Linked DNA regions of Rattus norvegicus. The protein of the gene in region 3 interacts with the protein of the main gene of each other region in a biochemical or structural test. Links are inferred from orthologs where the notes say so. Each region holds a gene or a part of one and is shown on either strand. Other genes may lie near its edges.

What was found.
Region 1: the proteins of Prkn (region 3) and Atxn3 form a complex in vitro, tested with the Homo sapiens proteins (4 studies listed by BioGRID and IntAct, with this or other methods). The link is inferred for Rattus norvegicus from reciprocal best matches to the Homo sapiens genes PRKN and ATXN3.
Region 2: of the proteins of Prkn (region 3) and Sncaip, one has a biochemical effect on the other in vitro, tested with the Homo sapiens proteins (3 studies listed by BioGRID). The link is inferred for Rattus norvegicus from reciprocal best matches to the Homo sapiens genes PRKN and SNCAIP.
Region 4: of the proteins of Prkn (region 3) and Septin5, one has a biochemical effect on the other in vitro, tested with the Homo sapiens proteins (2 studies listed by BioGRID). The link is inferred for Rattus norvegicus from reciprocal best matches to the Homo sapiens genes PRKN and SEPTIN5.

The regions. Positions count from the first base shown.
Region 1 is NC_086024.1:126,868,980-126,876,750, forward strand, and holds the start of Atxn3 (ataxin-3), read right to left. Parts: upstream 3,803-7,771; 5' UTR 3,698-3,802; coding exon 3,674-3,697; exon of another isoform or gene 3,558-3,673; intron 3,524-3,557; exon of another isoform or gene 3,052-3,523; intron 3,025-3,051; exon of another isoform or gene 2,221-3,024; intron 1-2,220. UniProt on the Homo sapiens protein: Deubiquitinating enzyme involved in protein homeostasis maintenance, transcription, cytoskeleton regulation, myogenesis and degradation of misfolded chaperone substrates.
Region 2 is NC_086036.1:48,401,682-48,409,274, reverse strand, and holds the start of Sncaip (synphilin-1), read right to left. Parts: upstream 3,803-7,593; 5' UTR 3,477-3,802; intron 1-3,476. UniProt on the Homo sapiens protein: Isoform 2 inhibits the ubiquitin ligase activity of SIAH1 and inhibits proteasomal degradation of target proteins. Isoform 2 inhibits autoubiquitination and proteasomal degradation of SIAH1, and thereby increases cellular levels of SIAH.
Region 3 is NC_086019.1:51,233,345-51,241,273, forward strand, and holds the end of Prkn (E3 ubiquitin-protein ligase parkin), read right to left. Parts: intron 5,095-7,929; coding exon 4,982-5,094; 3' UTR 3,066-4,981; downstream 1-3,065. UniProt on the Homo sapiens protein: Functions within a multiprotein E3 ubiquitin ligase complex, catalyzing the covalent attachment of ubiquitin moieties onto substrate proteins. Substrates include SYT11 and VDAC1.
Region 4 is NC_086029.1:95,874,142-95,881,747, reverse strand, and holds the start of Septin5 (septin-5), read right to left. Parts: upstream 3,803-7,606; 5' UTR 3,531-3,802; coding exon 3,450-3,530; intron 2,811-3,449; coding exon 2,714-2,810; intron 2,618-2,713; coding exon 2,531-2,617; intron 2,330-2,530; coding exon 2,206-2,329; intron 2,116-2,205; coding exon 1,981-2,115; intron 1,887-1,980; coding exon 1,769-1,886; intron 1,685-1,768; coding exon 1,583-1,684; intron 1,044-1,582; coding exon 947-1,043; intron 863-946; coding exon 727-862; intron 541-726; coding exon 438-540; intron 321-437; coding exon 264-320; 3' UTR 1-263. UniProt on the Homo sapiens protein: Filament-forming cytoskeletal GTPase. May play a role in cytokinesis. May play a role in platelet secretion.

The DNA.
Region 1 (7,771 bases), on a different chromosome or scaffold from region 3:
TCATGAAGTCACTCATACACATAAAAATAATTACATCTTAAAAAAAACTGATCTCATTGTTCCCAGTTCATGTGTTATTGGGGATAGATAAAACTCATGCTTAATTCATGCTACGATTTGGGAGTCGGTATTTTACCATGTTGGGCTCAGAAGATGAACATACTACACTTCCACTCTTCCAAGCTTGTCTACAAAATCACAAAGGGCAAGCCTGCTTGCCTCTGCCTCCTAAGTGCTAGAATTAAAGGCATGTGTTACCACGCCTGGCTGATAACTGCTTTTTTACTCTAACTTAATAGTACTCAAAGGGGTTAAGTAAAATTAATTCCAAGAGGAAGTGGTTGATGTCTTCTCTAGTTAACTTCCTGGTTAAAGGCAAATTATGGAAGGGAAAAGAAGTCTCTGGAAAATAGCAGTTGTGCTAAATATTCCCAGTATGGCCTCTTCCATGATTAATAACCCAGTTACAGGAGCATTCTCTTGAAATATGTTCCGACTTCATTAAGCATTCACTTGCTACAAATATTTCAGTTGATGATAAAGGCAGATGTACTCTCCAGGATTGGGGAGATGCCTCAGTCAGAAAGGTACTTGCCATGCTAGCCTTAGGATCTGAGTTTAATCCCCAGACCTCATTTAAAAAGTCATGCATAGTGGTACCCATTTGTAACTACAGTGCTAGAGAGGTGAAAATGGGCAGATACATGGAGGTCATAAGTTAGCCTACTTATAAGTAACACCACCAAGGTTGTCCTCCTGCCTCTAAATGCATATGGACATGTGCATCTCCATACACATACATACATACATACATACATACATACATACATACACACACACACACAGAAGTAAAGGTATTTCTCAAGTATTTATGAAGTATATACACCTGCTGATATGAATGACTTCTGGGTAAGCAGATGTATGTATCTGCACATGCGTGTTTGTATATGTGTTCTCATGTCTATGTGTACACACAGATATACATACGTGTGCCAAAGGTCCAAGTCAAATGCCTTCCTCAGTTGCGCTCCACCTTATTTTGTGAGATAGTCTTTCACTGAGCCTAGAACTCACTGATTTCAGCTAGACTGGCTGGTCAGCAACCAGAAACCCACCTGGCTCGGTTCCCTGCCTCAAGTACTGGGGATACAAACACACACTGGGATCTGAACTCTGGTTTTCATGCTTACACAGCAAGCACTATTCAGGTGAGGCATATCCTTGGCCTGAGTAAGTCTTTGTTAGCCTAGCATTTTGGATATACTGATTCAGTAGTTACCTTCACTGAAATCTGCTCAAATGAGGAACAATCAATATTGTCAAGAAGGTATTGAGGGGGGTTGGGGATTTAGCTCAGTGGTAGAGTGCTTGCCTAGCAAGTGCATGGCCCTGGTTCGGTCCCCAGCTCCAAAAAAAAAAAGAAAAAAGAAAAAGAAAAAGAAAAAAAAAAAAAAAGAAGGTATTGAGGGAGATGGAGAGGTGGCTCAGCAGTTAAGAGTACAGGCTGGCTTTCCAGATGACCTCGGTTCAACTCCTAACACCCACACAGCTACTCACAAGCCTGTTACTCCAGTTCCAGGGAATCTTCTGGCTTTAGTGGGCAACAGACACACAGTGCACAGACATACACAACAGTAAACACCAATACAATTTTTTTGTTTGTTTTCCATGACAGTTTCTCTGTATAGAGCTGGCTGTTCTAAAACTCTCTCTGTAGACTAGGCTGGCCTTGAACTCACTAGAGATTCCCCTGCCTCTACCTTCCAAGTGTGAGGTTAAAGGCCTACCACCCCTGCCAGCAAAAAAATACATATTTTTTAGTGTATTGTTTAAGAGCCCTATGCTGAGCTTCAATCCCAGGATGGTAGGTGGCAGAGGTACCTATTTAACATATCAAAGCGGACCTGAACTCCAGGTTCTCCCAGCATCCCTTAGTCCCTACTTATACCAGGGTATAGCTGGTATACCTACTCTCTACCCTGAACTCTCCAGACCATGGCCTAGCTGCCCTTCCCCTAGTGGTCCTTGCCTATGTAATTCATGTATTTTGGTAACCCAACCTCTTTGGTATACTTCTGCACCTTTGGCTCCTGGCTGCTGTATTTCCTTTCCCTCTCCCCATGTGGTTCAGGGTCATGACAACTCTGGGGTCTCCCAAATGTGTCTGCCCCAGGCTATGCTCTCCCACATCTCTTTAATAAACTTTCTCCTTCACCATACCTAGAAGTCATGTCCTTTCCATTTCTTCCTTCATTCACCCTAAAGATGACCCAGAGAGTAAAGGAGCTTGCTGCCAAAGCCTCAGACACCTGGAATCCACACCAAGTTGGAAAGAGAGGACAGACTTTATCAAGTCATCCTTGACCTCCACACAAGCACATGCATTTTTCTTTTAAGAATACATGGCAGGAGTCTCACAAAACAGTGTATAAAGTATAACATGTTTAAAATGGATTTTATCCCAAAGAGTATAACATGTTTAAAATGGACTTTATCCCAAAGCCTTTGGAAAATTACAAAAGAGTGGGGGAGGGGGTGGCGCACTCAGAGTCAGGGCACATGGTCATAATCCCAGCCAGCACTCAGGAGGCAGAGACAGTAGGATGGAGAGTTTGGGGCCAGCTTGGGCTACAAGAAATCTTGTCACAAACTAACTTGTTCCAGTTCCAAAAACACTATGAAAGGTCTTCTTAAGAACACTTTCATTTAACAACTTCCTTAGATTTACAGCATTTTTGTCTTTCTTTTGTCGTGCATGGACTTTAAACGTTGTGAATGAATGCTCCTTTACAAATGATAAAAACAAAGGCCTTTGCTCCAACTGTAATAATAGTCTCAACTAGCAACCCTCTCCAAACCTAAAATGATTATGAAACACGGAATCATGCCAAAGTTGTCCGAGGAACACCCAAATGACTTGATAATTGTATGCGAGCATAGACCAGTTTCTCGAGATGTCACAATACTGTAAAGCGTAGTCACTTAGGAATTAAGGTGAGGAAGAGACTAGCCAAATCACACAGTAGAAAGATTCTAATCTATCCATAATACCTAAAAACAAAGCTGGCCTCCTGGTCCGGAAAAATGGGAGAGCAGCCCAAACATCCCGTAATAAAAACTCTTATGACGACTTCCCTCCGGGATTTCCTACTTTACTTCCCAAGTGTCAGGCCCTTCAATGGGAGAGCCACGGTCACAACTGCAGAAGGACGTGGGATAGATCACCAAGATCTAAATGCATGGGACATTCCATCATAGAACTGAGTTGAGAGAGAAAGTTGGTTCTGCCAGAGGATAGGTCAGGGGGAGTGGGTGGAGTTGGGAAGGGTCCGTCAGGTGTGGAAAGGCGTCTCGCTAGACTAGACCACAGGAGAGAAGATAGAAGAAACCCGAAAAGGCGTGGCAAGTGAACAAGAAACGCCCGCGCTAATCCTCCGGATGAAGCCCCCCGAAATGCCCAGGTTACCCGCCCGGTCTTTTAGGGTGAGGGTGCCGGAGACGCATGCGGGAGGCTTCATGAACGGTGCCATGGGGGGAAGGCAGGAAGCACCCCTCACCCAGCCAAGTCGGGATGGGGGCGCTCGGGCCCCGCCTGAGTTCCTGAAGCGGCGACGCTGCTCCCCACGCCCGCCGCCGAGCCGCGGACGGCTCCCCACCGAACGCCCACACTCACTTTCTCGTGGAAGATGGACTCCATGTTTATTTGTCTGGAGCCAACGGCCCCGGCGCGGAGCAGCCCCCTCCAGCAGCTCCGCCCCCGGCCCCACCCCTCCGCCCCGGCCCGCCCCGCCCTACCCACGTGCCTCCCGCCACCCAATCACTACTGCGGGCGCACGTCACGCGGCACGCGAGCCGGGGAGCACGGGACACGTGACCTGGGCGGCGCTGGTCCTCCCGCCGCGTGTGTGATGCTGCGGCGCCGCCTGCTGTGCGGAGGAACTTCTCTACGCTAGACAATGTTGTGATTCTAGGGTTCTAGATGAGAATCCTCGCAGCCAGGTTTTAGGTTCTTTTTTTTTTCTCCATTTCCACCTTTTTTGGTACTTTCTGCTCAACTACGTGTAATACCTCCTCTCCCACTGAAAACCTCATTCCAAAAAAGGCATTCTCCCAATACCTAGTATTTGTGTGAAAACTATAGCTAGTATTTAGTTAGGGCTGACTTATAATAGTCCACTTCTAAGTGCGATTTAATGCGGCATTTTTGATGTGTGTGTATGTTGTAATATTATTATACAAATGAAGAAATGTAGGCACTAAGAAATTAGAATAGCACAGTGTCCAACACAGTTGCCTGTCGGAATGAGTATCAGGTCCCAGGATAAATGTACAATATCTGAAGGAGGAAGCGTCGATGGGGAAGTGAAAAGTCCAGTAAAATGTTGAGTGGCTCGCGCCGGGGGTGGGGGAGGGATTGACAAAGATTAAGTGTTATTTGGGCGCGGATCTTGTGTGGTGGAACCATTTTAGGTTCTTCAAAGTCAGCAAAGAAACTGGGTACAAAGACTCATTCTCCTAATCCTTGCACCTGAAGGTAGGAGGAGTATGTTGTGTTGGACTGTGGCAGCCTGTAACCAGGGTTTCTAGGACGATCCTGCCCGCCACCTCCCAACCAAAAACAAAACAAAACAAACAAAAAACCTACAGGAGGTTACAGATTTTCAAAACTAGAGACATGGGGTCAAATTAGAATTTTAGAAGATCACTGGGGAACAGAATACTTGAAAGGCATTTTGGGAGAAATGAGGAGACAATGGTGGTCAGAACTCCAGTAGTGATTTGAGAATGGAGAGAGACCAATTTGAAGTTTCAGGAAGCAGACTCAGAAGACTTTGGTGAGGAACTGGGGTGAAAGGGGTTATTGTTAGGAAAGATTTGTGGGTGTCTGCTGTAGGTACCACCTAAAGAAGGAGTAATACTCCAACCAGAAATACTGTGCAGAATGAGCAGGGTCTTGGGAAGGGAAGACAAGGGTTTAATTTGGGGAATAATGAGTTTAAATGTCTGTGCAACATAAGGTACTTTTGTGAGTAATAGATGTCTGGCCTGGAGTTTACAGAAGCTGTTTTGAGCTGTGAGGTGAGATTCATTGCAATTTAGAAGGTAACTGGCTATGAGGTTAAGAGCATTTGCCACTTCTCTTGTAGAGGACCTGGGTTTGATTCTCAGAACCCACATAGAGGCTCACAGAATTTGGTATCTCCAGATTCAGGGGATCTGATGCTTCTGCAACATACCTAGTAGGTACGGTGACACACATACATGCAGGCAGGCAAGCACTTATACACATAAAATATAAAGAAAAAATGTAAAACACAAGGTAACTAAAATCATCAAGACTGAACATAATCTTAGAGAAAAGCAAGAGATTGAAAAGAGGATCAAGAACTAAGCCCTGAAGATAGAGCAGTAGGCAAGAAGGGTGCAAATGCTAATGAACATACTGAACTGCAAGGCCCAGCCAGTGTTACATGCTGCCAGGAAGTCCAGGGGCATAAAGACTCATGAGACCGCTCAGTTTTATGTTGAGATCATTTTTGTGAGACAAGTTCAAGAAAACAAAGGAAGTGAGAGGCAAGAAACTGAAGACTGCCAGTAAAGACCAGCTAGCTAATCAAAGGGGTGCCATATTGTTGAATATTTTGTATGCAATTTCCTCTGGGGATAAAACAAGAAATAGAACTGTCCATATTGGAGGGAAACTCCTTACCACACAGAATATTCTAAAGGGAGATGAAGTCCACCTTGTAACGAAGCTAGTGAGATCATAGAATATTCTAAGGACAGGAAAAACAGTCAGTCTTACAGAAGGGCATCTTAAGCTCAGAAAGTAAACAAGTATGAGACTTCTGGAAGTCCCTGAAACCGACAAGATTCACTAGGCTCCTCCTTCCCCAAGCATATATAAACAGTAGGACTATTGAGAGACACTCTCCAACAAGCAGAGTTGCCTAGAAGAAGCAGAGACCAGCCAAGCTACCTGTAAGGGACACTCCACCCTGAAGAGCTACCTGCAAGTTGTGTAGTGTGATCCATGTTTCCAGCTTTTGTGGGCTGTTGTCATGCTGGAGTGGGTTTTGGTGTCATTTCTGTTCCTGTAAGTAATCTCAATAAGACTCAATTGGTTCACCAAATTGGACTTTAATGGTATCCTTACTTTGGCCTGTTATCAGTTCTCTGAGTAGATGTTTGTTCACAGTTCCCCAGGAACAGTGTCACACAACATGGGAATAGCCCATGTGCTTAAGGAATTGTGGCTTAACCAGGAAAATACAGCCTCCTAATAAGAAAATGAAAACTATGTTTTCTAGTGTTTTTTTTTAAAGATATAATTGTTCAAGTGAGTAAATGAAGCTGGGCTGCTATAAATGTCTGCACTGGGTAAATTACTATCAGAGATTTACTGCTCATTTATGGAGACTAGGGTGTCCAAGGTGAAGGCTAGAGCAGACCAATGTCTTGGGAGGCTTTTTTATTATTATTATTACTGTGCCTTTTGCATGTCTTCATGTGGCAGAAGCGTGAAGAGGACAAGCTCCCTTCAGCCTCCTTTATAAGGACACACTTATTTAAAAGGTAACCAAAGGGTTGGAAAGATGACTCCATGGTTAAGAGCATGTGGTTCTCTTCTAGAGGAAAGCTCTACTCTTATGACCAGGACACATTCATATCCTCTTAATATTAATACACCTTTCAACCTGTAAACTTTGGAGATGACACAATTTAGGTGATAGCACTAAAGCTGGAGACTCACTTGTGATTCCCTTCCTGTAACTGTTACACTTTGTTCTTCCCTTCAGTCTATATACTGTGTATCTGTCTCCCACACCCTCTCCCCTTGTTATATTGCCACTGCTAAGTTCAAACCATATGGACTCTTGTGTAGTCCCGTCCCCAGAACTATGAATTGATTCCACCTTAATATGTCCAGTTCATGGCATTGGCAGTGTCTTTTCGAAAATATAAATCTCGCCAACTTTTCTTTTATTGAGAAAATGCCTCCATAAGATCCAGCTGTAAGGCATTTTCTGAATTAGTGATCAAAGGTGGGAGGGCCCGTTGTGGGTGGGAGGGCCCATTGTGGGTGGTGCTATCCCTGGACTGGTAGTCCTGGGTTTTATAAGAAAGCAAGCTGAGCGAGCCAGGAGAAGCAAGCCATACCATCATGCCTCTGCCTCTGCATCAGCTCCTGCTTCCTACCCTGCTTGAGTTCCAGTCCTGACTTCCTTTGGTGATGAACAGCAATGTGGAAGTGTGAGCTGAATAACTCCTTTCCTCTCCAACTTGCTTCTTGGTTGTGATGTTTGTGCAGGAATAGAAACCCTGACTAAGACAACAGCCGTATCATTTCATCCATTTTAGGTCATTAGGATTCTTGATATATTCCATGTTTTCTTGTGCTTGCCAGTATTTTGTCCTATCTGTGACCAGGTTTTCACTGTTACCCATTTATATGCATGATTATATATATATATATATATATATATATATATATATATATATGTATATGTATATGTATATATGTGTGTGTGTGTATGTGTGTGTGTGTGTGAGAGAGAGAGAGAGAGAGAGAGAGAGAGAGAGAGAGAGAGAGTAATAAGTAGAAAAAACCCAGTGTCCAATATCTGGTAAATGGATATGGATATATGATGTGGTCCGTGCACATTTTAGTAATTTTCTCAAAAGTGGAAACTTCCCTCCTAGAAACAGAAGTATGCAAGGCTCCAGAGCTAAGGAAGCTCATGAAACTCCAGAGACACCAAAGTTTTCA
Region 2 (7,593 bases), on a different chromosome or scaffold from region 3:
AGTCCTTCTAACTTCCGTTTAACCTCTTAAGGTAACCGGGGATATCATAGTTGGTTTTCTGGTGCCTTCTTTACCCTAAGAAACTTTTCTATACACAGTAGTCAGTGAGATACAAACATAAGCAATAGCTAATACTGTGTGCTCTGTAGCTTATAACAATTTTGCCTTCACTCTGCCTCCTCTAATAAGCCTTTCTGGGATTGAGTTTTTCTCTCCCCCCACATAAATCACTTACTAATGTCCCCATGTCTCATAAGCGCACAATCCTCTGTCAGTCACTTAAACTCTTTTAAATCTCAGGGTGATTTTGACTCTCTGCTTTCACCACCTCTATTATCAGTCACCTAATCCTAAATCCGGAGTCTCCCAGAACACGGAGCAGTGGGCACTTCTCATCTTACGTGCCCAGCGGTCCGTAAGCACTCAAGATCAACGTTTCCGTATTTCATGACTTTGTTCTCAGCAGAATGCTCCCTCTATAATAAAGTGTTCTCAAAGGTCTCATAGGTGTATTTAAAAAAACAAAACAAAACTATTTTTGTAATTCCCTCCCATCTCAGGTGTTTCCTTTCTAAACCCCTTCAAATCTGGGGTGACCTTAGAATTTGATAAGCCAGTGGCAAAATAGCTAACATGACATGATCAGGCACTCAACACTTGCTTCTGCTGTGTGGTTACTCCTTTGCTACTCCTTCCATTGTTCTCTGAATAGAGATTGGGTACTGAGTGAGGAGACCCAGGCTAGCCTGCTAAAGAGAGCTTCCTCTCCTAGTCCACCCATGCACTTGGATAATAGCCTGACAACAGCCAGACAAGTAGTCAAGGCTATCCTAGACCCAAGGTCCTCCTCTCAGCTGAGTGACGATGTCACCTACAGGAACCTTCATTGGATTAGCAGAGCCCAGTCCAAACTGCTCACCAAAAGAACCATGATCTTTAGCCCTTTTAAGCAACTACATTATAGAATGACTTAATAACAAGTCAATCGGTAACTGATAAAATGTTTACTTTCTCCAAATTCTTTCATGGTTATTATTTAGTTTTGGGGGAACTCAATTCTGACATGTCTTGTTTCATGTTCTGCAGCATTATTTAAAATTTTAGGTATCCTATTCTCTGATTTTAATTCCCGTATGAAGAGATCATGCTGTGTGTATGTTGTGGTGTGTGTGTGTGTGTGTGTGTGTGTGTGTGTGTGTGTGAGAGAGAGAGAGAGAGAGAGAGAGAGAGAGAGAGAGACTTTGTTTTCTTTATGTGCGTGCATCTCAGTGAGTGGATTCCACATGTGTGCAAGCACTGAAGCCAGAAGAGGGCCCTGGAATATTCAGTAGCTGGAGTTGGAGAAGTTGGAAGTCACCTGACAAGGGTACTCTTAACCCATAAGCCATCTCTCTGGCCCATGCAGTCTATACTTTTATATTCTACATATTCACACACACACAATAACTAAGAGTCAAGTCAGACTTTTGAATATGTTCAGCCATCAATGAGCAATTACTCTTTTGGTCCTTTAATTTTGATTCAGATCTTTTTTTTTTCCTTGAGACAAGCTGTCTTGAAAATCACTAAGGATACCAGATGACCCTTGACCTTGTAGCTGTCCTCCTGACCTCTACCTGTCACTAGGTCCAGCTTTGATCATTAATTTTAGAGGTTTAATAGAAGAATTAAGTTGCCAAGCATAAAATATGAAGTCTGTTATCTAACTAGAAAATAATGCAGTTTATAGCTAAGAGACCAAATTATGTATTCATTTCAGGGAATGTTACTCTGCAAGTGAATTTGCATATAAGTCAAAGAGCAAAAGTAAACAAGTATATACAGGTCTCTGTTTCACAGAAGCAACTATTTGATTTTCACCACATATTATTTGTCTCGGAAGACCCATAGTTCTCCTATGGGATTTGCATCTGTAACCTGAAAGCTTGCCAAAAAACAGACTTTTTCTCTAAGAGTGTCACCGATCCTCTTGTGGCTCTTCAATTAGATTTTGCATTTAAAAGAGAAAGTCCCTTGTGCTGCTTCTAATGATGCACCTGCTACTTGGGAGATTTCTTCTTTTCACAAGAAACAAGTTAAATCTGGCAAGAAACATGGCTCCAGGCTCTCTCTGATAGTATCAAAGAGCATTTGTATGTTTCAGATGTTTTCTGTGGGTTTCCCTCCTAAGCACAGTGAAGTGTCTCCAAGTCCTTCCCAAACAACAATGCTGGCGATGGTTTTGGCTTCTATTCTCTGTTTGCACTGTACACCTGCACTGAACAGCTGTTTGGACTCAGCAAAGCTGTGACGTGGCACTCAGCAATCCACGGGCTTTAGTCACTTCCTTTCAGACATGGACAAACAGAACATATCGAATTAATGAATGGAATCCCCATTTCAGATGTACTGTCCTGTAAACTCTCTTCACAAACCGCTTAGGGACAATAACAGTTACATTCAAAATGATAAAACCTCTTTATAAACCTCCCCTTTAACGGCATTACTAACATTAGTGATGTTCTATGACCCTTAAGAGAAGCACCATCATTTGCTTTCTGATTCTAGACCTGGAAACGCATGTTATTTGATTAGAGACAATACCTAGCTAATGCTCCTTTAGAAAGAGACCTCTGTGATCAGTCCCCAAATGTCACGCATTCTTCTATTAGTTGAAAGGACAGTTTAAAGGTGTCTCCCAGCATTTTGCTATGCAGGAAGTAATTTAATATCCAGTCACATCAGAATCAGACACTGCCTCCCAGGTGTGCACACATTAGCATACGGGGCCTTCCTACATCTTGCTCTCTTGACTTTTGAATTTTTCAGTATGTACAAACGAAGTACAGATTTGAACGTATTCCCAACGGAGATGTCTGCTTCATAACGAGAAAGAGGTTTTTGCCTGCTTGCAGATTCAGCGCCGAAATGATGCCTGACCATAACGTGTTTAGAGTTGACACCTCGGAGAACTGACGTCTGTGCAAATGTAATCCCCATAAACCTCCCCAGATAGTCCTTATTTCATTTTGCAAACTGTACCCTGGCAGGGCTCCACAGCACGTGGTGTGTGGCGAGACTGTGTTGCGCCGCTCTTTCTTCCTAGGGGCTCTTTGATGGACACTGTCAGTAACAACCATGAGGAGCGGCGCCCCACCTCAAGCAAGTGAAAAAAAAAAAAAGGGCACAGACAGCAATGCTGCCGTAATTAACTTTCCCAAGGAAAGCAATGTTCTCGCAGGAAAAAACAACGTTTCCACCCTCCTAGCGGCTAGTTGGAAATGAGCAACAATGCAGTTGCCTTTTTGTCTCCTGAAGACTTTCTTTGCTGCAAGCAGTAGCGTGTTCCTCAAAGAATGCTAGTATTTCCTGTGGAAACTGTATGGCTGCCAGAACTGGCTCAGAATATTTCCCCCTTTCTTTTCGTAAAAAAAAAAAATGAAATAAACAAAACGTGGCATTTGACAATAGCCAACGTTGGCTTCATCCCCACTTACCACCTGCAAAGGAAAGTCACCGCCACTGAGAGGGTCAGGAAAGAAGCCTTCCCCAGGACGTGGATAATCCCGGGACGCCGGACAGCGCCGGGAGGAGGAGCTGAAGCTGGACGGGGCAGCCTAGGCGCCGCGGGGCTGATGGGCCAGGGGCTCCCTTCGGGTAGCGACACCACCCGGCATCCCCTTCACGTTTGTTATTGTTCTGGTTACTAGTGTAGCTATCACCAAGCCTTTGCCCCTCCCTGGGAGCTCTTAGGAGCCTCGGCACAGCCCATCCCCGCCTCCGGGACGATCCGAGGTAGCAGCAAGCAGAACGCCAGCTAGCGCAAGGGCCAATGAAAAGAACCATCCCCCTGCACCAGAGCCTAGGACTGGGAGGCGGGAGTGACTTGGGTTCCCCGGGGTGAAGCTGCCTGGGTTACCACAGCGATCCCCTCTTGTGGCTCTCTGCAGCGGCACCGCGCGGCTCCGGGCAGAAGGGACCTGAGGCACAAAGGGGGCCCCCCGGGGTCCCGAGAACCCGCAGGGTGTCGCCCGGTGCAAAGTTGCACGGGCTCAGCCTCGCCTGCTCGCGTCCCTCTCTTCCCTGCGGCGTCTGCGGGAGGACCTGGACTCACCGGAGCGGGAAGGGCGGCGGGAGGGATGGACGGACAGACGGCGAGAGCGGCGGGCGCAGGAGACCCCGGCGGGCGGCGGAGGCGCTGCCGCGGCCCCGCTACGTCACAATGCGGCCCGGCGGCCGGCGCCGCACCCCGGGCCCCCCAACGGGCGCGCGCGGGCGGGGACACCCGGGGCAGCGGGACGTTGAGATCAGGGACGCGACCACCAGGCAGGACCGACAGCGACCGTCCCCTTGATCCACAGCCCAGCCCACGCCCCTCGCTAGCAGCCGCCTTCCCCCAGTATCCCGGACCAGCGAACCTGCTGCTTCTGCTTACCTCGCGCGTTCACCTCCGCCGCCTTGGCTCTTTCCCGCAGGCTCTCTTCCCTCCTCCCCTCCCACTTTTGGCCCCCTCTTCCCACTTTCTTCCCCCGCCTCCCCTCTGGCTTTGCTGCCTCTCCTCCCCCCCCCCCCACCCTCCGTCCCCCGCGCGCTCTTTCCTCCTTGGAAATGATATCTCCCCTCACCACGATCCATGAATCAACCGCTGCCACCTCATTGGTCCCCAAACCATTCCAAGGTTCCAGCATAAAACCGGGAAATGAGAAAAGGAAGGTGGACACGGTCCTGGGAAACTGTCTTGTCTGAGGAGCGTTTTGGCGAGAGTGCTATGCCTTGGCACTGCGTCTTCAACCCCCAACGTTCCCCTCTCCAAGTCTCGCCCACCCTGGAAGACTTAGCCAAGGAGTAAAGGGGCAGGGTTGGGTTTTTTGTTTTGTTTTGTTTTTGTTTATTTGTTTGTTTGTTTGTTTTTATTTTTTGTTTTTTCTTTTTTGTTTTTTTTTTGTTTGTTTTTTTAACCCAGAATGTTTTGTGCTCCTGGGTGGGTGGCGCTAGAGATTTGGGTCTGAAATGACAGTTGGTTAATTCAGCCGTGTACCCTGGACCCTGTGATGATAGTAACTTTACTCCTAGCACACCTTATGGAGGACGCACAGTAATGCCTGCAGCGGAGGGTGAGCACCTCTTTCCTATTTCTGAAACAAAATACAGGAAGAACAGAAGCACCCATAGCAACCTTGGCTCTCTGTTGCCCTCTTGGAAAGCTTTAAATAGCTTTGGACAAATTTCTGTTCCAGGATTGGGAAAGGATTTGAAGAGTGTTAAAGGAAAGCCATCGTGGGTTACATTCTTGTTCCAGGACATGGCCGCTTGCTTGAGGTTGTCCAAATGAGAGTGCGAAGGAAAGACTGAGTTCCCGTCAAATTAGGGTTCATCTTGCTCCTCTTTCAGCCAGTTCTCAAAGGTGAGAAGGGCTCTGAGATCCAGGGAAACCCAGTACTACCTAGGTGCTGGCAGTGGGATGCGTGCCAGCGTGTCACAGAAAAGACACTGCCAGTAAGAGAGAAGGGCCTGGGTGTTTTAAAGCTAGGTTTCTGTGAGTGATTAAGAGTGAAGCTGGAAGTCATTCTTAGGAGACACATATGTCTATTTTAGGATTAAAGATAATCAGAGTAATCCTTGTCCTGCACACAACTGGGTTCCTACCTCTAAGGCCTGCCATAAATGTCACCCCTAGAAATGACATCCTTGGACGTGATCAGAAGACAGCTCCATATGATTTAATCCTCTTCCCTACTCTTAGATGTCTTCCCCAGGTTTTGACTAAAGAGCGAAGCATATGATCACACAACTCTGCCATGTGTTTACTGTAACTTATCATGGCTAAGTACTGCACGGAAAGTGGCTTCACAATTTTTAAAAATACATATCCTCTGGTAGAAAATATGAAATCGGATGACATCATACGCCACTAAAAATACTTTAGAATATTGGTTTTAATTTTCTCACATCTGGTTAGAATAAAACTTCTTTTTTCCTGGTGTAAACTCTGAGGAAAGCACATCTTGCTTCGATCCAGTAGATATGGATAGAATGGGTGTTTTCTCTCTGACGTGGAGCTAGACAGAGTAGAAACGTCGATGCCTGCCTTCTTGACTTCACTGAATCCTTTGGGGGGGAAAAGATTCAGATTTGAATTTATTGAAGTCAATAAATGTTGAAAGATAGGTATCCCCCTTCTGGTTGCCCTGGACACCCTACAGTTCTTGTACTGATCCAAGTGTTTACATGATTCAGTGAGAGGCTGGATTTTGTTGTATGTACCAAAAATGGATTGCCTGGGGTGAAGAGGGTTTCCTGGCCTCAGCAACCAGCATGCAGCAGCACAAGGCAGAAATCTTTGTGATGTTTCATCAGTTATTTCCCCTATTTTATTTTTTATAGTTCTTTTGTTACTTTTTTTTCTGTTCCCAATATGTTTTTGATTACATACTTACCATTGTTTCCATGTGATTGTTTTTACGCTGTGATTTAAATCTAGGCTTGTATACACTTTCCCACATAGACCTCGTGTTTGCTTTTGTTTGGACTGTTTGCTGGTTTGCTTCTCCTCTGCAAATCCGTGCCAAATCCCGACCACAAATGGATACACCAAAGTGTGGCAGTAATGAAGTAGTTCAGTTCAAACAGCTGTTAGATTTTTAGATTGGATGGCAAGAACGACAGCTTCCTCAGCATCACGTTGACTTCTTTTTAGCCAAATGAACCAGCTAATGCCTCATCTTTCTGATTGCTCATTACCGACATCCAGTCTCTGGTAGTCCAGTTCCTAATAAAACCGCCTGTTGTGTGGAGTTCTGAAAGAGTGCCTGAGCTAGCCACAGCCAAGAGACCATTTACCTCTCTCACCATAGCCCCTACCTATGCTCGCCATGCTATCTGCTGTGCTCCTCTTAGTGACCATATTTTTGCCTCTTGTCCATTTCTTATCCCTACCATTCAACTGTCAGTTCCTGTGGCAATGACGACAAGCTCCCATTATTCACATTTGGGTCCTCAGCACTGAGCACATTTTTATACTCAGAGTTAGCTACTGAAAATAATTAGTGAAGAAGTGCGTTCCACTGTAGATCATCTGCCAAAGAGCTGCCATATAATTGCTCGCTCAATTATTACAATTAAACATCTGCCTGCTCTATGATTTGGTCCGATTTTTGTGATATATCTTTATCGGTCTGTGAGGATCGGATCAAACTACCTCAAGTGATCAAACAGAAAGAGGTTTTTCTATTTTTAAGTTCATGTTTTAATAAAATATTCAGCCTTGTAGTAAAGGCCTTTGAGTCAGTCTCTCTCTCTCTCTCTCTCTCTCTCTCTCTCTCTGTGTGTGTGTGTGTGTGTGTGTGTGTGTGTGCGCACACGTGTGTGTGTGTGTATCTGGCTTATTAAAGAGAGGCCTATTAGAAGTCCTCTCTGAGAATTATAGTTTGGCTGCACTGGGCTACTTCTTAAAATTCTGGAGCCAAGTTCACTCCATTTGCTTGGCTTTCAGTATGTTTGGTGCTAGATTATCTGCACCAGGAATCTGATGATCTTAAGCAAATGTGTTCGCATCTGTCAAGAGAGGTTAGGTAGTGATACAGTAATGAAGAGCCACAAAAACCACCACCCTCC
Region 3 (7,929 bases):
AGGGGAGAAAGAAAGAGAAGGAGGGAGAAGGAGAAAGAAGACAGAGAAAACAGGAGGTCTCCATTAGATGTGATGGACCAGGAACACACGGCTGAGTAAAATGCCCTTCACCCTGAGGCTGATGGAGCAATCATATCCTGATTGAGTCTCAAACTTCAAGTCCTTCAGAGCAGAGCTGGGGAATTAACGGTCCAGCATATAAAAAAAATAGATTAGGGGTAATTTGTCCAGTAATTGTGCTGGACACACACACAATTTTGAAAAATGATTTTGAAAAATCCATAGGACTCTCTCTCGATTATTGGGTGGCTGGCCAGGTCATATTAATAGCTAATATTAAATAAGTTTTAAAAATACCATTTCCAAGACCTTGGGAGTTTCTTCATCATGCTTGGGTTGAAAACAGACCTCCTGTTTTCTCTGTCTTCTTTCTCCTTCTTCCTCCACAGTGGCAATCTGCGAGCCAGCGCTTTTGTAAATGCCTTTCCTGTTAGGTTCCATTGTAAACTTGTTTGGTCCTTTGTTTCCTCTTGGTGTGTGGTGCTGGGAAGGGACCTCAGGCCCTGTGCGTGCTAGGCAGGTGCTGTTCTATTGAGCTCCAGCTCCAGTCCTATTGTAAACCAATTTCCTTGTTCCACAACAGTTTCTAGATCCACACTGTGTTATGTTTAGATAGTTACATTGGATCTAGATGTTTAAAAAGAATCATGGGTCGATCCTCACATGTGATATAGGGACATCATGATGAAATCTGGGGGCATTCTCATCGAATAAGTAACTTGCATTTCAAAAATTAATTTTGTGTATGTGTCCCATGGTGTATGTGTGGAGGTCACGGGATAACTTTTGGGAGTCAGTTCTCTTCTTTCACCATGTGGGTTCTTGGGATTGAATTCAGGTTATCAGGTTTGGTGGCAAGCACCTCTAACCACTGAACCCTGTCATTGGCCTGGCACTAAGTAAAAATAAGATGAAAAAGAATTAAATATGACGAACACAAAAACACAACAATTATTTTTATAATAAAAGAACAACTTAGGTATAAACTTCACTAAGTAACTTGATACTACAAAGCATCTCTTCTAAAGTGTCATCTGAGTCATTCTTGCATTTGAAATTCAGAACCAAGAATTCAGCTCACTTTCTCTGGCCACGGAAGGTTCTGCCCACAATTAGGTGCCTCTTCTCCCTTAACCCGATCTAGAATCGTACTGACAGGGACGAGCCTAGGTGGTACTAAGTCCTGTACAGTTGACTGTCATCATTGTCAACCATCTGTTGTTGTAAAATGAAATTTGGGGCTGTCTTTTACCCCGCTAGGTCCAGTACTGCAGTGCCCCAAGATATCTGGAAGATATCTTGCCAGAAGCACGCATCCCAATTCCGTGGTGGCTTAGTGTCCCAGCCACCACATACTCTAATTCAACACAAGAAAGAACACACAACACAATAACCTCTGATCCAATTGGTAAGATATACTTGCCCACCTAAACATACCAAGCCCTGTACACATCCATCCCTTAAGAACAGTCATAACAACCTGTAAAGATACAGTGTGGAATCTTAACATCAGCCTCCATGTTCTCTCTAGGTGGCTTCTTCGCCTTCTTCTCCTCCCTTGACCTTTCCATTCCTGTCTTCTTGTCTTCCCTCAAACTTTTTCCCCCTACCCATCCTTCCTTCTTGTCCAATGACAGGCCTCGTTCTATCTTGTACCTGCCTATTCCTGCATGATGACATCATCCCACAGCCATCACTCTTCGAACAGTGAACCAAAATGAATGCTTCCTTCCTTAAGTTGCTTTTGCCAACAACAACGAGGAAATGTGCCCAGTAAACACACAGAGCAGCATGAGGTCACCACAACACAATCTTGATGCGTTAGTTTTGATGTGCACGATGCGTGGATGCACATGCATGAGGAGGCCAGAGGTTGATGATGAGTTTTCTATTGTACTCTAAGCTCACTCTGTCTGTCTGTCTATTTGCCTGTCTACCCGTCTCTCTCTTTTCTTTTTTGTTGTTTTGTTTTTGAGGCACGGTCTCTCACGGAACCTGGTGTTCATCAAGTCAGTGATGCTGGTCAGTGAGCCCCGGGATCCCCCATCTCTGTCTCACAGTGCCAGGATTGAAGGTGTGTATTAAGATGTCTGTCTCTTTTTGGGGGGGGGGTTCTAGAAGACTCTCTTTTTTTAAAAAAATTTTTTTATTATATATAAGTACATGGTCGCTGTCTTCAGACACACCAGAAGAGGGCAACAGATCTTATTACAGATAGTTGTGAGCTACCATGTGGTTGCTGGGATTTGAGCTCAGGACCTCTGGAAGAGCAGTCAGTGCTCGTAACCACTGAGCCATCTCTCCAGTCCCTGTCCTTATACTCTTATTGTGACCACATTACTGGATTAGGCCATCTCCCTGCATCCAAACTTCTTCCTGTATTTCTTCAAAATATCTATATGTCTGTCTGTCTATCTATCTATCTACCTATCATGTATGCATGTGTGTGTGTGTGTGTGTGCGCGCGCGCATGCGTGCACACACGCACATGTGCGCTCCTGAACCCACCTGCCCAAGTACATATATGTGCACCATGTGCCTGAAGGAGCCTGTGGAGATCAGAAGAGGGAATCAGATTCCCTTGAATGGGAGTTATGGGTAGTTGCAAGCTACTGGCTGGGTGCTTGGGAGCTGAACTCAGGTCCTCTGCAAAAGCAGTAAGTGCTCTTAACCTCCTGGTCATCTCTCCAGACTCTCCATCTCCAGTTTCTTTTGTCAACACTTATCTGGGCAAGTCTGTGAGCAAGGCAAGAAAGTAACTGTTAGGTTTCAGAATGAGAGCTTGATTTGAAACTTTGATAGTTAAGAGAACAGAACCCCAAAGTTAATCATGGATAGAAAAGAGGCCATTCCCCCCAGTGGGCGATGTTTCCAAGTTCTCTTTGAGGTGGTCTAGACATGCTCCTTCTATAAAAACATATGAGAGGTCACAGAGGAATGTGGCCAAAGTTCCCTCCCACATCTCCAAAATTTATCAGAAATGCATCCCCAAGGATAGACTCAAACACTCTTCGGATTCTTTTATTGACAGTCTGGGTACTTATTGATTGACAGTCTGGGTACTTATTGATTGACAGTCTGGGTACCACCACAGACACAGACTTCAGGTATTTCTTAACACATTTCACAGAGAGAAAGAGCTTTTCAGAGGTTTGATTTCCACTCTTTTGACATCCACTTTTTATCCCACTATTCATGCTCACACAGTGCAGGCTGTGATTCATGCTCGCACACTATGGGTGTCTTTCATTTGAGTTATTTTAAGAATCACTGTTGTATTCTGAAGAAAACATATGCAATCTCAAGAAAGGAAAAGGGACCATACCAGAGAGCCATGGAGCTTCAGTGAGTCCCTTTACCCAAAACAGAACAGCAAACATTGTCCTGGCTTCCCCATGCCAGTACGGCATATGGGTGTGGCAGGAGGCAGAGGCAGGCAAAAGAAGTAGTGATGGGTGACATCAGATTCCTGAGTGCTACATGACAGATTTTTTTTTTTTGGCTACATGTATGACATTCATTTAGGATCTGGCTGGGATGAATCTTGGGCCACTGGACCACAAGTGTGAACTTAGGCCAGCTGGCCTTTCCTCACACAACAAGATACCAATCCCACCATTTCTGTATGATTTTTAGCGCCAGGACTCAGGTCTGGTAGCCCCTCGACACCCAAAAAATGCAAAAGCAAAACAAATTAAAAAAAAAACAGGAAAAAGAAAAGAAAACCTTGAAAGATTAACATTCGAGTGTGATGTATATTTATCCAAAGGCTATTCCAGTGTGTGTTTATTGACCTGTGCAACTGGCCATCTGTAAGACCACTGGGTGCACACTGGGTGCATGGGGCTCCCTGGGGCTTAACAGCTAAGGAGGGAGCAGATATGCAGAGGTGTCCCCACTTCTGGCGGAGGGGTCAGGCATGTTCTCATGTAGATGGTCTAGAAATGTTCCTTTTGTAAACATTCTGTTTCTTGACCCTGTTGCTAAACATCTGTTGCTTGACCCTGTTAGAACAGCATCATGGGATTGTCTCTAAAAATGCCCCCTTGACAGGCACTTTTCCTGCTAAGTTCACGGTGAAGCCAGAGGCATGAGTTCAACTTCCAGGCTGCAATAGGAATACTTCAAACTTTGTACTATTTTCAGGGAAATAAATCATTTCTTTCTAAAGTTGTAGATAATTAAACGAATGGAAGTAGGTCTGGCTACTGTGCCCTCCCTGTGATTTAAACAGTCTGTGTTCCAATTAACTTTCCTAGGCTCTCACTTGGCTGATAAGCTGATTAGTATACAGTGGGCTTGTAATCTCATCAGCACCATTTACAATGATAGGATTTGGGGGAATAAACAAATATTTTTGGCTAGTGCCGAGGGCCCTCTGGGAATAGATGATTGCTACGTAAGAACAGCATTCCTCAGATCTCCAGTGTGCGTCTGAGAATCCACAGAAGTATAACTCACTCAGGGCGTGGCAACAGCCTTGGAAAGCACTTCCCACCTCACCCGTGGCTTCTACATGGATTTAGTGAAGCAGAAGGCAGGAGGTTAAGTCTGGAAAACTCCCGGCCATGAGAACCCAAATTCTCGCTAGGATGAGAATTCAAAACAAGGGTGCCAACTCTCATCCCAGCTCTGACATATGCATGAGTCAGAGGCTCAAAGTGCCTCCTCCCGTTGGGGCCAGCAGGTGCTGCAGTTTTCTGTGGGTACCCTGGAAAGGACCTAGAGACTGCTTCTGTAATCTGCAGTGTGTGTGTGTGTGAGTGTGTGTGTGTGTGTGTGTGTGTGTGTGTGTGTGTGTGTGTGTGTGTGTGTGCGTGCGCGCGCTTATATGCACAGAGAAGAAGAAATGGCTAACAAAGGTAGGAGTCTGAGGTGTTTCCCATGAGGTCGTGCGGCCATTGCCAAGTGACATCCCTCTCTACACGTCAAACCAGTGATCACCCATGCAGGCTCGGTTCCACTCACAGCCGCAGTTCCAACACCACTCCAGCTTGCACTGGGGCTGAGGACACTTCATGTGCATACATCCTCCTGTGGGGACAAAGGACACAGACCATGTGGGTTTGTAACAAACACCCCTTGTTCACAATGCCAATGTGTCATTCCAGAAACAACTCTTGTAGGAAACAACCCTGAGCAACAAGGGTAGAGAGACTGAACCAGAGCAAACAACCAGACAGCAGGGGAGGCGACTCCTGAGTGGGACACTCTGGAGAGATGGAACAAATCCCATTTGCACATCTGCGTTTCTCTTCTTTCCCGCCATGCATTTAGACACAAATCGTACATGTTTTATGGACTGCTGATTCTTCATTTAAAAAATATAACGATAATAAACTCATGATTTTGAATTCATATTAAAAATTTAGTAATGGTATATAACACATGTATCTATTTATTTTCATATCTATTTATTTTTTTACATATTTATTCTATGTTACTTGGCTCAACAAAATTTATCAACAGGAGTGGGGACCTTATACTACTTTTAATAGAGAATATGTTCCTTAGTGGTACTCAGAGGGCTCAGCTGGTCGAGTGCTTGCTTAGCATTCGCGTGGTTTGCCCTGGAGTGATCTGTATTTTGATGCTAATTCCACTGCCCCAAGGACAGCTGCTTAGTCTCGAACTCAGGACTCAGGTGACTTCACCAGAACCTTCTCCCCATTGAATTTGTAGAATACAGGTGAGGGGCAGGTACAGGATAGAAAGAGGCCTGTCATTGGAGGAGACGGAAGGAAGGATGGGAGAGAAGTTTGAAGGAAGAGGAGGAGACTGGAACGGAAAGGAGAGGAGAGGAGAGGGAGAGAGAGAAGCTGTGGCAGGACAATATGGTGGGCGACGTTAAGATTCCACTCTGTACCATTACAGGTTGTTATCAATGTTCTTAAGGGATGGATGGTACTGGGCTTTGTGTGTTTAGGTGGGCAGTTATATCTTACCAATTGGGTCAAAGATTATTGTGTTGTGTGTTCTTTTATGTGACAGTTTGAGCATAGGAAAGTGTGCGGTGGCAGGAGACACTGGGTCGCCGTGGAGTTGGGATGTGTTTCTGACAAGATATTTAGCAGATATCTTGGGGCACTGTGGTGCTGGACTTAACGGGGTAAAAGAAACCATACCTTTTTAATTTTTTATATTTTTACAACAACATACGTGGAGCACTAGGTTTGGTCCTCAGCACTGTATAAACCAGGCATGGTGATGCACACATGTGGCCACCCCCCACCCCCCTGAAACTCAGGAGGCTGGCGGCAGGAGGGTCAAGTATTCAAGATCATACTCGGCCACAGGGTGTGTTTCAGGTCACCCTAGCTTACATGGAACCTTGTCTTAAAAAGTTAAAAAACAAAACAAAACAAAAAAAACAGGAAGAAAACAAAAAAATGAGAAAGGAAGTTTGTGTAAGATATGTGCTCTATGTGTCTTATATTACAGCTTGAGGATGCTGAGGTTGGAACATCACTCTGCTGGAGAAGTGTCTCAAGGTGAAGAAGCTGGGTCAGGAGGAAGAGCTGAGACACCCAGTGTTCCTCTTGAGACAGGGGCTGTCTTGTCCACAGCCAATGGTGAGCCCCTTATCAAGAGACCTCCTTTGAGCTTGCCCCTTCCCTTCGGTTGCTGTCGGTTTCTGGCCTCAGACACCCAGTGCCCCAGGAGAGGCATGGGGACCGTGAAGTTGACGGCAGAGAACTCTTTGAAATCCAAGCAAAGCAAGTCTCTGCTCAAGTGCTGCTCAACTCGACTCTAAATGGGTTCTGCTAGCTTTTACCAGTTCTCTTGTTGGCATAGTTTTTTTTTCTTGCCAAGGCATCCAAGTAGTTGCCTTAGGACTGTCAAACTTTTATTAATAGAAAGCTCGCATGAGAGCCAACACCTAATCTCAACTATTTCTGGGCCCATAGGCACTTGTCTTGGGATAGGATGTTTAAAAGCCCCCTATTTTCCACCTGGTTTTGGTTTGCTTGAAGGATCCTAAAAGATTCTAGGTGTGTGAAAAATAGAGGAAAATATTTAAAAATACCTGCCATCAAAGACAGGGCCATTTTCAGCACAGATTAATAGCTGTGTCTCAGCATGTACAGAATGCATTAGAGGAGTATGACTATGACACATTGTTTAAATTTCTCTAAAATCTCTTATAGGATATTAGGCTGGACGTGAAGACTTGCTGAACTTACAAGTTATACTATGTGAGTGAGAATTGTTTGTTTTTCTCTCATTCCTCACACATCCAAAACACAAACATTGTTAACTCATCTCTCAAAGCACTAACATTGTAGAAAGCAGTGTTCACTGTGGGTGAGGAGGAGAAGTAGGGAGAGCTTTTATCTGCTGTCTTTGCAGAGTCCTGCATGGCTTTAGTAGGGGTGGAACGACATGGCTGCTGCCCCTGGGACAGGGTCAGCAGGGTTTGAGCCTCCATGAGTATCCATGGCTGCTGTGGGCATCAGGCTTGTTTGAATAATAATGCACATATTTTCAAGTTCCTCTGAGAAATGTTCTCCCTGTTGACATCAATGACTCCATGATACTCAGAGACAGCATGAGGGAGGTGAAGGTGTGGCTAATGTCTTAGTAGAATGGTAAACACTGGGACCTTCAAGGCAGCCCTTAAGACTGTGAAAAAGAACTCTAAATACATGAGCTTGAAAATATATAATGTCTCAACTATGCAAAAATATAAGGATGCAATATGATTTGTATAAGGAGCTTCAGAGATCTAAAGGGATAGAGGCAGCTACACTATGAGCCGGCTTGTGAGAAAGATACAAAGACAGGCAGATACAAATGCAGGTAGATTCCTGAGTTCAAGGTCATCCTGGGATAGGGCAAATTTAGACCCAGCATAGTCGGAATCGTAAT
Region 4 (7,606 bases), on a different chromosome or scaffold from region 3:
GAGGAGGGACTGTGGTTCAGATACAAATAAATGACCGGGAAGGGTGGATGCTGAGAATAAATTAGGGTCATCTGGGGGCTGTGGCTCTGTGGCTCTAGGTCTGAATAGTCTGGTCAAAGCCACTTTGGATTAGGGTTAGGTCCAGGCCTTCTGAGATCCAGATAAACCCAGGGTGGAATCCAGGACAGTCTAGGATCCAGGGGTAGGAGGGGCCAGCCTGGAAACTGGCTGTCTATCCTTGGCGATGTGGACCGGGGCGGCTGTCACTGGTCCTGCATTTGCTGCTTCATCTTCTGCAACATCTCCTGCATGCGCCTCAGCTGGTGGTGGGGGCGACCCAAGTCAGAGTGAGAAAAGACAGTCGAGGTCTAGCCCTGCCCTCTGCTTCTCCTCCCCGCCCTTTGGCAGTCTTGGCCCCACTCCTGATTTCCACCCACCTCTTCATCCTTCATCCTGATGAGCTTCTCGGTCTCCGAATCTGGTGTGGGCAGTGGGAGGATAGGGATGGGGCTCTCCATGCGGCTGTCCTGCGTGAGTTTGCTGTGGAACGAGAGGGCCGTGCTTGTTGGGAGGTTCGGGTTAGGAGGGTGGGAGATGCCTGGCCCACTCCTACCAATGTCAAGACTGCTGGGCTGATTTAGGGACTGGAACTAAAGTTCAGGACAGGGAGGCCTTCTGTGGCACCAGGCTGGGGTGGGAGAGTCGGCTCTGGTGAGGGTGGCCCACCTGGTCATCTGCTGGATGCAGTGAGCACGGTAGTTCTCATAGTGCACATCGCACGTCACGTCTTTGAGGTCGTGCATGTGCGTGCGGATCAGCATGTTGCGTAGCTTCACGAAATCGCAGTGCGCCTGATTCTCCACTGCGGGCAGAAGCCGGCAGTGAGTAGGTGTCAGCCTACGGGAGCCTCCCACCCCTCACCCAGTGCCTCCTGCCTCTGTCTCACCTTCGACGATCCCCCAGGGGTACAGTCGCCCCCGGACCCGCTGCCCCTTGGCCTCCACCACAGTGTTGCTGCCGATAACGGCGAAGGGAGCACTTTCCTGGGGAAGGGAGCAAGGACCCAGCCCAGCCTAGTCTGTAAGAGCAGCTGGCTCAGAGGCTCAGGCCATTCCGGCACTGGCACCTTCCCCTCCCATGGCATGGCCCCTCTTCTGGTGTCTTTGCTACCCACTGAAGTCACAAAGCCTAAATAGCTCAAAGCCTTGGGGCATCTGCCAGGCTGTGCACTTCTCTGACACTGGATGCTTCCTGGGACTCCCTCCACCATCAGAGTCAAGACCATGCTTACTGGTAGATGGCTTTGCCCATCTACTTCTGGCCCAATGGCCCCAGTTCCGGGCTTAGCTCTCTGTCATAACCTCTCTGGCCTCTGGGGTATCCAAGGCCACCATCTTGGGTACTAGAGCTTGACACATCTCTGGGCTACTGGGCTGATTCTTGGAAAGCAGGTCAGAATGGTACCGATTCCTGCTCTCATGGTGTGCACCTGGGTGCTCAGCCCTCCCCCAGGGCCGTGTGGCCTCCAATGCCCTGCCCCAGCTACCTCCTTGCCCCCCACGCCTCCTGGCTACGCGCTCACCTTCAGTTCCCGGTCCTGCTGCTTGAAGTCTTCATCTTCATCTGAGTCACATTCTGGAAACTGGTACACGTGGATCCCAAACTTGTCGATCTCCTCTCGTATCTGCAGCAGGAGAGAGCTTTCGCTTGGCACTGGCCCGCTCCCCTGGAGGTTTTGGCCAGGCCCCTTGGGCTGTAGGAGACTCACCCTGTCCTTCAGCTTCCGGATCTCACTGGGAACCAGGCAGTCGGCTTTGGCGATGAGTGGAACGATGTTCACCTTCTCGTGCAGCGCCTTCATGAAGCCTACGTCCACTGGCCTCAATCTGCAGAGGGGGTAGGAGAGGCACTGTTGGGGGAGGGGCAGTGATGCAGTGGTGGGAACATCCACCCGATCCAGGGCACCTGACGGCCACACACCCATGTCCGAAGGGGGAGATGAAGTAGAGGCAGCAGTGCACCCGGTTGTCCTGGATGTTCTTGCGGTTGAGGCCGCTTTCATCACGGAAATACTGTTCAAACTGCTGGTCTACATAGTCAGTGATGGGCTTCCAGCTAGAGGGAGAAGGGAGCTGGCTCTGGCAGCTGCCGGCTAGGTGGCGGCAGGCAGTCGGGGCAGGGGGACCTGTTCAGAGCTGTCCTCACCACTCGAAGTTGTTCACTGCATCCCCAAAGCCGGGCGTGTCCACGATGGTGAGCTTCAGCTTGACTCCCTTCTCCTCGATGTCAACAGTGTGTTTCAGGATCTCTACTGTCTGGTTGATGCGTTCTGCAGAGGAAGGAGAGGGAGTGTTTGCAGGACAGCTCCACCTTTTTCTCTGGGCAGCAAGGAGCCTCGTCCTTACCCACCCTGGTGTCCCGGCCTCAGTCTCTGTCTGACTGTGTGTTCTGGGCCACTCCTCCTCACCACCAATGGGGACCCTTCCCTCGGAGGGAGCAGATTGGTGAGGGCTATATGAAGACTACTCACCCTCAGCACTCAGCAGTTTCCGGTCCTTGTACAGGTCAGTCAGGAAGAGACTGTGGACAAGGGTAGACTTCCCCAGGCCGGACTCACCTGGCCATAGGAACAGTGATAGAGCTGGATTAGATTGGGGCTGAGATGGTCTGACCCACGGCCTCATGGGCTCTACCTAGAAGTTTGGCCACTCACCGGCTACCATGAGTGTGAAGTCGAAACCCTTCTTGACTGACTTGCGGTGCACCTGGTTGGGCAGTGTAGCGAAGCCAACGTACTGCTTGTCGATGTCCTGAGGGCGGGGGTGGTTGGGGCAGATCAGTGGCATATCCTAGATCTTCAGTGGAAGCCTTATCTTTTATGTTGCTCAGAGGAGCAGAAAACATAGCCCCTAGCTAGGGGCATTTCATCAACAACAACAAAAAAAATGGGGTGAGGGCTGAAGGGCAGAGGCCGGAAGGTAGTGGAGGAAGTGGCAGGGAAAGGCCCCCCCACCCCACCCTCAGCAGAAACCCAAGACTTGGGTGGGGAATGAGGAATAATGTCAGCCCCACAGGGCATCCCCTGAGGTGGGTGTTGGGACCCACTGAGACCTCTCAGACACATTCAAGGACCTCTATCGGTGGAAATAGCCAGACCTCAGCACAAACTCATCCCCGGAATACCCAAGGGTGGGTGGCTTGTCTGGCCCAGATCCAAGCCTGGGGGTGGTGGTTCCTGAAGCAGCATCGGAGCGAGGGCTATTTATAGACTGCGGTACTGAGCCTCCCACACCAAAGGGTCTGCGCTGCCTGCACTTATCCCTAGTGGACATCTGCCCCAGGAGCCCCTGCCACCTACAGCAGTAGCCAGAGGGTCTTGGCCAAGCAAGACTGCACACATGACCCAGATTCCACCCTCTCTTTCCACGCACACACACAGACACACACACCTTGAGCCGCCTCTGGGCCTGGGTGCGCGGCGACAGCAGCTGCTCCACCAGGCGGTCCTGGGGTGCTGCCAGTGAGTCCATCGCGGCGACCCCGCAGACCCTGACGGCCTCGTTCCGACCCTACACCAGGGTCAGGCCAGTCGAGGCCAGCGATCTCGAGCGACTCGCGCTGGGTAAATTTGCTCTTAAGCCCTCTTCTGCCTCAGGTTTTGAAGACGCGAGAACTGAAGCCCGGAGGGGGAGCGTCGCCCACCCGGTAGGCCGCTGACCTCAGAAGTCTTGCGAGCCATTCCCTTGCCTTTGCCCGGGAGCCGCGAGCCGTGGCCGCGTCGAGGCTCAGCAGGCGCTCCAGTGCGAGCCCGAGGCGGGGCTTCGTGGGCCCACGGCAGCAGCGGAGGGGACCGCCCCGCCCGTCGTCGCCGGGAAACGGTCGCCTGGAAATTGGGCCGCAGGCGGAGCCTCGAGAAAACGGCTGCCATGGGCAGGGCCCGGCAGAGGCGCGAGGGAGGGGGCGCCGCGTGGATCCGGAGCGCAGCCGTGGCACCCGAGGCCGCGTCCGGACCGTCCGTAGGCGGCCGGCGAGGTGTCTGCGGTCGCGGAACTGCCTCCGGGACGCCGCGCCGCTACTGCCCACCAGAGGGCGCTAAGGAACGCTCCGGACTCACGCACAGCCGCGGGGGAAGCGGCCCCAGTCAACACCCAACACCTCGCTCTCCGAGCACTTCACCCGAAAACCTGAACCGTGCCTTGGTGACCAAACTGCCGACAGACACACCCCTCCCTGCTCCTTGGGGCTCACTCTTTCCTACACCGCACCCTCCACGGGCGCTTGCACTGGTGATTGGGGGACTTCTTTCCCTATTGGTATCTTCTAAAGCGCTAAGGACAGAGTGCACCTCCCTTACTAAGCCTTGCCATGGACCCGGGGAACAAGCAGAGCGGCTCAGGTCTATAATCCCAGAACTTGAGACGCAGAGGCAGGCGGATGTCTCTGAGTTTTAGGCCAGCATGGTCTATGTAGCAAGGTCCAGGACAGCCAGGGCTAGCTACATAGTGAGACTTTATGGGGTTGGGGATTTAGCTCAGTGGTAGAGCACTTGCCTAGCAAGCACAAGGCCCTGGGTTCCGTCCCCAGCTCCGGGGGGAGGGGAGGGGGGAGGAAAAGGAAAAAAAAAAGGAAAAAACAAAAAGAGACTTTATCTCTAAAAACAAACAAAAGGGTGTGAAGGATGCAGTGGCCAGAGTTCAGATGACTGGCCTCCTTCAGAGCTTGGAAGCTCTGGCCAGCCCACAGCTAGGCAAAACTTCTGCCCACAGCATGCCATCACTTTAGGTACCAGATGTTTAAGGAACCACAGGGTTCTGATGAATTGGGAAGCCATTGGCTGTGAGCCACCAAACTTTTCCTTACTCCTCACTTCCAACCCCACCAGAATCAGAGCTCCAGCCCCTGGGTGCAAGAAACTAGACAAGTCACTGTGCAGACTGGGCAAAGGACCAGAAGGCCTCCCTCCCCTATGCAGGTACCACCCTTCCTCCATGAAGCCTCACCTTCTTGGCTTCTTGGAGGGGCCTCCACCCTGGGTCTTGCTAGGGGGTCCCCCTGAGGGCGACTAACACCTGGGGAGGAGCCTGAGCCCCACAGTTACAACAGGAGAGCCATTCTTCCCAGGGCTGAGAAGAAGCCTCCCAGTTCTTGCTGGTTTCTGTCTGACCTGCCTAACCTAACAGAAGTCTTTAGACTGGGTTGCAACCCACCACCCCTAACCCAATCACTCTAAGCACAGCTGTCAGCCCAGCATCCACCTGGACAGGTTGGTATCTCCAGCCTAGGTAGGGCACCTCTGGAAGACCACACAGGGGCCTCAGCTGGGTCAAGCCCTGGTGCTGAACAGACCCTGTAGGTCTTAGACTACCTTTCAACTTGTTCATTGGAAAGGCACATGTTTAGGGGAAGTCCCAGTCAAACAGCCTGTCTGAGTATCACCCAAGCAGGCCACCATAGCCTGTCTAGTCCCTGGGGAAGCCCTAATGGAGGGGCCTTGCACTCCCTTTTTCTAGTCCTGGAGGCTCTACAAATATTCCTCAGGGATATGAAGCCATACGCAGCTCTACCCACCTCTACCCGAGAATGAGACCATTGAAGCTTTCAATCCTTAGAATTATGACTAGGCTCTGAAGCACAAGCAACCAAGCCCTAATCACTGCCCAAGAAGAGGTACGGATGCAAAGGGCAGACAAACAGACACCTTCTTCTACACAGACTGCTGCTCTAATCCCCTCCCCCATTTAGCGTCAGAAAGAGGCCTGGCTAAGCCCAGCTCTGTGCAGCCATATTGGGAACCAAGGTATTATGAGCTGCTCCCCCAGGCCCACAGGGTCCCAGCTTGGACACCAGAACTCTAGCGCTTTCCTGGGGCTCCCTCCACCTGCCCTGACCCAGTGTTCTCTTCCTTCTGGCCTGGGGATAAGGGGTGGTGTAAGGCTGGCTCCTGACTGGCCTGAGGATGGGCAGATGCAGGCCTGAAGGAAGGGGAGGGGTCTCCATTCTAGCAGCAACAGACAGGAGAACGTGGATGATGTTAAGCAAGGACCCAGGCCAGGTGATGTGGAAGACCTTCAGGGCCCAGGAGAAGCCTAGGTCCCTGCCTTCCCAGCCTCTGGCCCCCTCCCTCACACAATAGCCAGGCAGCTGTGTCCCCATCGGCTTTGTCTGGCTTACTGAGGATGGGGAGGCGGTTCTCTAGGAAGGCTCCTGGGAGAGCCCCTCCCGGCAAGCCTCATCAGTCTTGGGCGGGGCCTGTCCCTGCCGGGAGACTGACTTCTCCAGCTCATCCCATCAGCCAGCTGCTTTTGCTCTGCCTGATCTAGTACTGCTCTGGTCTAGTACTCTGGGGTCTAATGCTAGGTGTGAACGTGCATCCCCAGGGAGGCTTGCCAAAGCCTTCTGGTGTCAGAATCTGGCCTTTTCCCCTATCTTCAAACGGGGCCTAGCTCGAGGCACACAGGACATCCCCCTCGGTCACTCACTTCCGCAGCACTCTGGTTTCACAACCCTCCTTTGGATGTTCACAGGTTACCCAGGCCAGTTTCACAGTAGCCTGGCACTTTCACGGGGGTGGGGATCAGGCTAGTCCTTTGGAAGGCCACAAGCCTGGCTGTACCCGAGGATTGGAGGGCTAGTGCTGAGTTCCTAAGGATGACTCAGATGGGGAGCCTTGGAAGTTCCAGGTCTTGGAAAAGCCTCTGCCAAAGACTAGCGAGGATAAATTTGGGTTCAGGAAAGAGACACAAAGGTGCATGAGCATGGAGAGGAGTAAGCAGAGGCCCCTGTGGATTCCTCAGGGTGGTAGACCCCTTCCCCTCTCCCCGTTCCTGGTCTTTCGTAACTAAAGCCTCACCCAGGACCCCCAAACACGAGGCCTTCCGGTCAGGTTAAGAAGGAGATGCTGTCCCTGGACTAGAGGAGAGAGGCCCTCATCCCAGCCTCGCTTTCTGGGGTGGTGCCTAGGCCCCTGCTATACAGGTCAGGGAACCAAGCGCGGTGCCTACTCTTCCCCTCCGTAGCCCCAGGAGCGGCGGCGCTGCCCCTACAGACAATCGATTAACGCCAAAGGGCTGGGTGACGGCCGGCGGGGGCGGGGTCACGCCTGGGCGCCAGCAGCATCGGTACCACAATGGGTGACAGCCGGTCCGGTCTCACCACCGGCCGAGCGGCGCAGCGCCGGTACCTGTTTGTCCTCTGCATGATCCGGGTCGTGGTCCGGGTCCGGGCGGGTCCGGGAGGGTCCGGGCCGGCGGGCAGGGGAGAGACGGAGACAGACGGTGAGAGGCGGGCGGGCGGCGGGGACAAAGGCGCACGCGGGTACGCGGACAGGCGCTGGGCTCACCTGGGGTCGCCAGCTTGCTCTTGTACCGCAGTCCTGTGCTCATGGTGGCCGCCGGCGGGGTACGTGTGGCGGCGGGCGCGCGGGCGGGGCGCGGCGACCAGCGGTGGAGGCCGAGGCCGGCTGCGGGGTGACCCGCCCCTCCGCGCCGCCACCACCCGCCCCGCCCGCGCGCCCGCCAGCCAATCGGCGCCCGCCGCGCCCACGCGCGACCCGGAGAGGCCGGTGGGGGCGGGGACTGAGGCGTCCCGCTGTGGTCCCCCCCAGGCC